2 linked regions of the Drosophila melanogaster genome follow. The protein of the gene in region 1 purifies or fractionates together with the protein of each later gene. This does not show direct contact. Each region holds a gene or a part of one and is shown in the gene's direction. Other genes may lie near its edges.

Region 1 (5,197 bases):
GTCTGCGTGTTTCCGGCGTGCGCGTGTGTGTGTGAGCGTATGTGTGTGTGTGTGTTTGTCTTTGTCTATGGCAGCTTACCTAATTACATTCCGGAAATAAAACGTTGACTGATTGTGCCAATAAATGAAAATAATGACGCACCATTGACTGCAAACTGGAACCGACGAACGGGCAAACTCTGGTCGAACTTTTTCCCTAAGTTTGCGTAGAGACCCCCCAACGAAAAAAAGGACACGAGAAGGAAACTTCTTGCCCGTCTGGACTTCTTTCCCTGCCGACTTTCTTCTGCCTTTCACCACAGCCTTTTTTGCCTGTCCTGACGAGTTTATTTGCTTGAGCAGCGTTAACTGATTGTCTGTGATTTTCTTGTTTTTAGATAATGAAAGCTGCAGCAATCTGCGGCTGCGGGTACATAAAATAAAAGCAAGGCACCCAGCAAGTGTAACTTTTTATGTGCTCAGGCAACAGAAATCGCCGGCCATTTATACGGATACTGGGATACTGGGATACTAGGAAACTGGGCGGCCAGGGAGATTGAGTGTGGGTCAGTGTGCCAGATATCGAGTGGAACGGGGAAGGGCAGGGGAATTAACATACACGACTAGATGTTTGCGGGTCAGGTTTTCATTGCCTGATATATGGTTATGATTTTCCAACGGCAATTTGGCCAGAAGCTGCGACTATTTGTCTTCTTGGGTATTAAATTTGGATGGGCAGCAGAACATCGAACTCATTAAGTGAAATATTAGAGAGGCGTTCGATTTTAATTATTCAAAAGATCGCAAAGAGCTATGTGAAAGGAATTTAATGCATGAAAATTATTTAAAATAAAAATGAACGAGATCTGTATTCTTATTAAACAGTGGTCCATTGCATTTGACTTGACTAATATATCTGAAGCATGAAACTCAGGAATTTAATCTGCAAGACACTTTCCCGCGTTTTAGCTCAGCATTTCCCCGGTTTTCCTTGTTAGCCAAAGAATTCAAGCGGAATGTGACATTGCAGCTGGGCAGATGGCGCCTTCGACGCGAAAATGCTTTCACAGCCTGACAAGGTCTAAAGCGTGTTAGCCATTTATTAGTTCGGATTTCTGGCTAGCCCCAAAGTATGCAACCGACTTCTGCGAGCCCAAACGTGGCCAAAAAAAAAAAACCATGAGCTGGCTGAAATGGAAAGTTAAGTTCGCCCAGCTGAGGGCCCACAACTTGGTACCAACTAATTTCAGCACAATAACCCAAATTGAAGCGGTTTGCTGATGCTTTGTTTGCACCCGATTAGAGCCGAGACGCGTGACGAAGGTGCTTTCGTCACTCGGCGAAATGGCTGCACAAAATGAGAGAGCGATGAAAGCAGGAAGGAGAGAGAGAGTCCAACTATGCGCACAAACAACAAGGAGAAAGATAGAGAGAGGACCGGAAGTAGTGAGTTTGCGATAAATGTTTGCTATAAAAATCGTACCAGCTGTTCACTGAAGATTGACAATCCTAGAAGCTGTTTGAAAACAAATTAAAATTTCAATATATGCACTAAAAAAATTTAGTTTTTTTTGGCATAAAAAAATTTAGTGTCGGTATATGTAAAACTGTTAAGTTGAGCCTTGTTTAGGCAAATTAAGGATACCTAAAAGTTGAATGTGTTGTTAGCCCTAAATCATCTAATCATACACAATTAAATGAAATGGTAATCAAAAATATGGCAAGGATTTAAACCAAATTTAATGATATATGAAACATAATAACCTTTTAGCTTTTACCTCTTTTCTTTAAGTTGATATAATAAGGTTAGCTGCATTAGTTGCAATGTAATATATGTGTTAATAGAACAAGTGCTTAATAACAAAAAAAAAAAACTATAGTATTGATTGCCTTAAACGGAATAGTTGATATAAATTGAAAGGACTGGGTTTCGGTTTCAAAGGACCAATTAAGCAAACATTTCACGCGAACGCAAGATGCTATAAAACTTGAGAGTTTCCCCAAAAGGAAAATGAGAGAGGCAAGTCGAGAGAGAAAGAGAGAGCCAAGCGCACGAAGTTCGTGCAGACTTTTCCGCTGCTGCTGCTGCTGCTGCTGCCACTGCCACTGGTGATGGTGTTGCTACTGGTGTTGCCTGCTTTTCCTTGGGTCCTCGTGTCAGTCGCGTGCGAAAGCGTAAAGTAAACAGACAGGCGGCTAAAGCGGCAGAAGGAAAAGCAGCGAAGCGCTGGAAAAGCAGGAAAAAGCAGCAGCCGTGCAACCGAGGGCCAAACAACAACACCAGCGGCTGGCAGGCGAATTCCCACGCTGCTGCTCAGTCAGTTGAACTTTGACCACGGCGGTAACGGGTTCGGTGCGGTGCAGTGTAGTTTCGGTGCGGTCAACGCGGCGTATGCGCAACGTACATGCAACGTGAGCGCTTTTTTTGCGAAACTATAAATGATGAATTCCAAATGTGCTGGCATATGGCTGCCACGTGCCCCCAGCTAAAATGTGACTAAAGGATTACAAAAAAAAAAAAACGAGCAAGTCAAACAAAAAGCGAAAATGAAACAATGCAAAAAAACGCTTAATTAAAATATGGAAAGTTAATTGCAAATGGCGCTTAGCAATGTGGTCACATCAAATGGGCATAAATCAACGCAGAAAGTGCATTTAATTAGGCTTAATATAAAGAAAACATCAAATAACCGAAAAGTGTGGGCCTAAAAAAATAAACAACAATTAGAGCAGGGGAAAAAACGTTTTAATTAATGCAATGTCATCCAATTGAAATGCAAGTGCAGTGACAAATGAAATCAAATTAAAGCTCTGATAAATTGAATCACAAATGCAAAACAATTGACAGCTACAACAACAAGCGGAAAATAAGTGCAACATCCTCAGCGACACACAGCAACACAAAGCAACAAAATGCCGGCATCAAGTGGATTATATCGCATCAAAAATGGCCGTGTCCTTGACAGGCTGCAAAAACCAGCGGCACTCATTTTTATAATAGCATATATTGCGGCATGCGGCATTTGCGGTAAATATCACACACAGACATTATGACTTTTCACTAAAACTAAAAATCAAATAAAATCCCACATAAAAGCGAGGCGTAGAAATTACAGAAAAATAATGACGCATTTAATACTTTTTCATTTATTTATGCCGTTGATTTTTCAATTTGCATTCCGCTTATTCTGTACTGTTCACCGAACACGATTTAATTCAATTAGCGTCGCTGTAATGCATGAAATATTGTCAAAAGACAAATTGGCGAAATATGAAATTAAATGTGGCAAATATCACGGACGAGCCGCAACAAAGGCCACGAGATTGCCCAAGTCGAGAAATCGTTAATTTGTAACATTTCATTGCCGATGTCGAGTGCAGTGACAGGTCAGGCGATGAGCGCGGAAATCACCTGTGCATCACCTGTCAATGGCTGACACCGCAACAACGGCAATCAGGGGATTCCCCTGCGCCAAACGGCAACAGCAACACTTGTCTCTACAACTGAGCTCACTGAAAGCTGCCCCCTGTCGCCATTTCTCTCCATCTCTTTCGCGCCCTGCATCGCTATCTCTCTCTCTCTCTCTCTCTCTGTGTCTGACTGACTGGCTGACTGGCAATTTGTCAAGCAATCAACAAAGCCAGAAATTGCCCGGCAATAAGACAGAGCGAAAGCGGCAGAACGCCAGTTTGTCCAATCGGGAAAATGTGAATGCGAATAAACCTATTGAACACGCCAAAAGTGGTATAGAATATGCACTGCGATAAAAATATGACACCAGGAACTATCATAATCATCTCTAGTTGCATTAGGTATATTATGTTTCTAAACTATGATTTTTATGCAGGTGTAATCCTTTTGACAATCTCTTTATTCCCTTTTCAAGCTTTACGCATTTTAAACAAAATATCTTTATGAATATTTAAAAATATACATATAATAAATAACATATAGTCAATCGTTATATATAATAATTTAAATTATATTTTTAATATGCAAAAGCTGACTATGTATTCTCAAGAACTATTAGTTCTTAACTTACTTAAATAGTTACAATATACAAAAAATGTGCCTCTTATAATGTTTATAAATTGCTAGTTTATTTGTAAATAATGTTTATTTCTCGAATGCTTGAACGCAACATAAAATTTGGTCTTCAATTTAAGCGATTTTTCTCGCAGTGATTGGTACTCGACTCCAAGGAATACCGATATGTGGAACTAGTACACTGCTTGTGCCACATTTTGTGCGTGCCCCGCGTCGATGGGGGGAGAGGGTGTCCGTAAAGTCGTTGCTAAATAACAACAACAATGGCATAAAAAAGTGCCACGTCTTCACACACATTTGCACGCGCACACACACAGTGGGGCCCTGGGGCAACGCACACACACCGCAGCAACTGCGAGTGCTACTGGCGACTATCTAGCGCATCCATTGTTGCATGCCACACACCAACACAGGCCTTTTGGGCCACACACTCCTGTCGCTGTCGTTGTCGTTGTCACTGTCAATGCTGTAATGAAAAATGCACAAACACAAAAACGAAATACGAAAAAAACAAACAGAATCCAAAACTGCAACTGAAAATAGAAATAAACAGAGGCCGAAATAAATATATTCAGAATGCACGCCAGCTTAGGGCGATGAGTAAAAAAAAATAAAATAGACAAGCAATTTCAGCTGCGCCTGCCGCTTTTTATTTGGACCGCATTAATATTTAGCCAGCCACATGAACGTGCCTAGATATACATTAAGGCTCATATAAATCAATATTTATGCCAGCGGTGCATGTCTGTGGATCGAGCCATGGGATTTTTGAAGGCCAGCGGGGTCGCAGCAAATGCATTACTAGTCGCTGCACCCAAATCCGCAGCTCAATGCATCCAAATATTTGCATAATGTAACCAAAAAATATAAAAAAAAAATATATTTCTCCACTGCACTGCAGGCTATATGCTAAGCAGGGCGACCATGTCACTTTGGGGGCCAAAAATGTGCAGCTACCCATTCCCCATTTGAATGTTTTGGTTGTGAACATCGATATAAACATGGAAAAGATCGAGCGTTGCTAAAAAGCAAAACGACCAAAATATATGTAAATACTCTGTACAAATATTCACTTATTCAATTATTCACAATGCTTAACAAGCGGTTTGTATGACATCCCGTGTTGGTCATCTAAATAAGGTGTATTGATTTTACTTAAATATCTTAATT
Region 2 (4,468 bases), on another chromosome or scaffold:
CCATAGTTATTGAAAGCATTTCCGCCTTAGAACAAATTTACAAAAGCACTTGGACATAAACTTGCCAATTTGAATGGCAATTAGCTCATTTTCCAGTTATATCACCATCTAGTTGCGTCATCATTGCAGTCAGATGGGTGGAACAACCTTTGGATATCCTGAGCATTTAGCGTTCGAATGACCAATAAACCCAATGAAATAAATCAAGTGCCATAAACCGACGGCGCCATATAAAAGCACCCACAATAGAGGCGTAAAATGGTGCGCTATATGTTCTGATTTAATATATTTCTATATCGCATTTGTTTACACTGCTAAACTATTGGGCGAATTTGATTTGAATAAAGTACAGACGGCGGGGACAAAGTCTCGACAGAATAAAAGCCTGGTAATTTTCACTCTTTGTTTTTTTTTTTTTATTTCTCGAAACTTGTATGCAAAGTAATTGCGGCAAATTGAATTCAACAAAGGGGGCACAGGCGAAAAAGTGAAAAAAAGACGCTAAACGAAGTCATGCCGTTTCAATTGAGATACAATACACAGCTACAATAGATACAGATACAGCTATGGCAAATGCCATGCAAAGAACAAAAGTCGTCTTGAGTCGAGTAATTTAAAAGCCATTGGCTCATAATAAGCCCAATGCAAACAGGCAGATCAATTGTGAATACATAAAGTGAAAAAAATTAGCCATCGATATTCAAATTGTTTGTTTGCCCAGGCGGCCAAAGCCGAGAAAATCCCAACGCAAACGAATGGAAAATTAATTTTTAACATTTCAACAAGCGTATAAATTTGTTTGCATACAAATTAATAAGGCTCTACCTGTCATAATCTTTTTGTTTTCGCCCGCTAAGCTGCAACTGGCAAATTGAACGACTGAGAAAGCAGGTTGAACGTGTTCTCAAAACCGCTGGCATGTTGGCTAAATAATTGGCTAAATATTTTACACATTTTTCCACTGGACATGTCACCGCTTCGCAGGCGAAAGTTCTGGTTTCGCTATATTTACGAATGTTTTTCGTGTAAAGGTGCCTACATTCTTGCCTGATTGCTTTAAAAATAAGACTAGGAATAAATGCAGACGACAAAGTAGTTAACGGAAGTTCGTTTGCTCTTATCAAACCGAAACTCAAATGCCCTCCACTGAATTGTTCGCCTGATAAATAATGAGTCATTCGGGCAATCATCAGCAAAACTACACAACGCAAGGCAGTGCCAACAAAATGCTAAATGGCTGTTGTGTAAATTATATAGAAGGTATTTTAAGCAACGTTTCCACGCGCCTATATTTTCGATGGTAAAAGCCAAAGATGGATGGGCCCCAATGAAAATACTCTTACATAAAAATGGGCGAATGTCTGGCCTCATGTCCACTATCAGCAGCCAAAAGAGATTTCCACCTTTTGTTCAGCAAATCGCTAAGTAAACACTTCATGATAAGAGAACACACTGGAAATGAGTGGGAATTGCTCCACAGATATTGTACAAAGTTTTGTTTTTTTTTTCAAAGTCTGTGAGTTTTGAATGGAGCCAACAGAGCGAGAACTTCCATAGAGCAGCAAAAAATCATGAATAATAAACGGAAAAGCAGCACAGACAAGTGTCAAAATAATGATAGGTACAAAAAAAAACAAACCGATTTTCATCTCTCTCGTACAGCAAAAGATGTTAATTTCTTTTAAAAGGAGTTCCCAGACAAATAATTGTAATTAAATCTATTAATTAGTCAGCAGTGATTTCCAAAGCATCTCAATTCTTCGAAATAGAAATAGTATTTCAATCCGATTTCAAAAAAAAGAAAAAAACCCTGCCTTACATTTTCGAAATGCGCTGTACCCGCCACAGATGAACCATATTTATTTTCGCAAAATCAGAACACCATGAATAGAATGGGATGGCAATTATATAGAACTGATGATCGTTATTTGAGCATTATAGAGGAGCTTATCTGGCCAGGCGTTTGGCGGTCAACGTTTGGAATCAGTTTCAGGTCGAACGTGAATCGTGGAGCACGCCAAATGTACGTCCGGAATTGTCTGCCGTTCCTCTGCAGCTATTTGCTGATCTCATTGGCGGCCACAGCTACTACGGATGAGGACGCGGATGCTGATGTGGATAGTGGCTCATCCCGAATAGTGCTGGTCTCCAGCTTGGAAGGTCATTGCCAGACGGAGGGCAAGGTGACCAGCTGCAGGGGCTTTGAGTTTGCGGGAGAGGACGAGAAGGCCACCTTTGATCTGCCAACGGAGGTGCGGATTGCCGAGGATGGCACCACCTACGAAGTGGGCGATGAGGAGCACTCGCGAACCCTGATCTTCGAGAACTGCACCTTCACCAATTTTCCCCTGCGCTTATTTTACACACTAGAGGTCAGTGAGCTGGACATGCGCGGCTGTGGCATCCGCTTCATTTACTGGGAGAACTTCTCCATTGGTGCGGATAAGCTGGTGATTCTTCTGCTCAGCGATAATCACATCGAAGTGCTGCCCACGAAAACCTTCAGGGGAGCAGGAAACTTGGAGTTTATCTTCCTGAATCGCAACAAACTAGGCAAACTGCAGGCGGGTGCGTTTGATAATCTCCTGAAATTACAGTACCTGGATCTCACAGAGAATCGCCTGGAGGCTTTAGCCGCGGACGTATTTGCCGGACTGAAGAGTCTGCGGCACGTGGGACTGGCCGGTAATCAACTGACCACCATTGAGAGCGATTTATTTGCCCACAATCCGGACCTTTTGTCGGTCGCAATGCAGAACAATCGACTGCGAGAGGTGGGCGAGTATGCCTTTCGATCCCGCGGACGACACCATCAGATGCAGTATGTGGATCTATCGAATAACCCCGAGCTGGTCGTTCTACTGCTGAACATTAACGCCACCAATTTGACCGCTCGCAATTGCTCGCTGGACCGTGTCAATTTGTACGGATCGGTGACGAATGTCGATCTGAGCGACAATCGCGTGCGCGAGCTGTACTTTCCCGCCTCCGAGGCACTGGAGCATTTGGTGCTGCGCAACAACTCGCTGGTTCAGCTGGCGTCGTTGAGCCGCGTGCCCAGACTCCGGCACCTGGATGTGGCGGACAATCCGAACCTGGGTCAGTTGCCCGACGGTTGGCGGACGCCACATCTGGAGATGCTGGTGCTGCGGAATACGGGCCAGATGGAACTGCCGCTGGAGGCGTTGCAGGGTATGCAAAATTTGCAGAAACTTGACATATCCGGCAATAATTTGACGGAAATCGATCCATCCGCGTTCCCCACGCTCACGCAACTAACGCACTTCTATATTCATGGAAATAACTGGAACTGCTTCAGCCTGAGAAACATAATGGATGTGCTCATTCGTGCCAATGGCATTGCCTATACCGTGGATAACTACGATCCCGATTTTCCGGGGGAATACTTTCACGGAATAGCCTGCATGTATCGCTTGCCCGAAAAAGAGGGTGTGGACTCCTCCTCCTCTTCGGAAATCTCCGCCAGCGTAGAGTCCTCGCCCATAACAAGTAGTTCTGATCCCAGCGAGGTGGACAAACTGCGCGATGAACTGAAAGCAGTGGTGCAGCACTTTGATTCCAAGTTCGATTTGATATTCAGTAAACTGGCCCAATTGAATGAACAAATTCAGGCCTTTGAAGTGCTCAACAAAACTGTTTGGAGTCAAGTGACCTTGTCCGTTTGAAGTTGTTAAATATGGCCCATTTTTTATGTGATCACTACATTTTCAAAGCTTTACAATTATATGTATACATTATAATTAATATTTGAAGTATTTCCTAAAGCTTCTTAATTTTAAACATAAAATCTTTCGATCCAATAAATAAATCATTTTTTAAATTGTTGGAAGAATTCCACTAAAGAATTCGCGTGTATGTTTTTTTTACCAGTTCTTGATAATATACAAAGTTGGAACCATAATCTAACAAAACAGGAAGGCTTTTCGTCTTTGTTTAAGATTTAGTTTCCTAGAATATCATTTTTTTCTACGCCTATTCAATTCCTAATCTCGAAAACAATTTCTGCTCCATTTCCCTGCTGATTTTGCATACTCAACCCCAAAAAACCAATACAATTTGCAACATGAGCACATCTAGTAAATATTTATTGCTCGCTGTGTCGTATACGTAGAATAATATTTAAACAATAATATTGATTTTCGAGCAAAGCAAAGTTGGGTTCTTTTTCTGAAAGATATTGAAAGAGGTTCGTTCAACTCGGGCTGGCGAACCAAAATGGAAAAACGAGAAGAAAACTGGAGGGCGAAGACAAGATGGTGGGGCTCGGGGAACTTGAGTTGAATTGAACAAAGTCAAGTCAATTACAAAACCAATATTTTCGGAAACTAAACAACAATATTGAATTCGATCGAATGGACCAGAAACCGAGTTATTTTATTGCCATCTGCTAATGCGAACAGTTTTAATTATTTATGCTTTATCCCTTCTATTCGCTTACTCGCACATT

The links.
Region 2: the proteins of dpr13 (region 1) and cDIP purify together in Drosophila melanogaster (affinity purification with western blotting; 2 studies listed by BioGRID). This does not show direct contact.

Annotation. Positions count from the first base shown.
Region 1 is NT_033778.4:18,004,844-18,010,040, reverse strand, and holds the start of dpr13 (defective proboscis extension response 13), read left to right. Parts: upstream 1-2,138; 5' UTR 2,139-2,892; coding exon 2,893-3,007; intron 3,008-4,045; exon of another isoform or gene 4,046-4,646; intron 4,647-5,197.
Region 2 is NT_033777.3:21,158,608-21,163,075, reverse strand, and holds cDIP (common Dpr-interacting protein), read left to right. Parts: upstream 1-1,983; 5' UTR 1,984-2,021; coding exon 2,022-3,686; 3' UTR 3,687-3,838; downstream 3,839-4,468.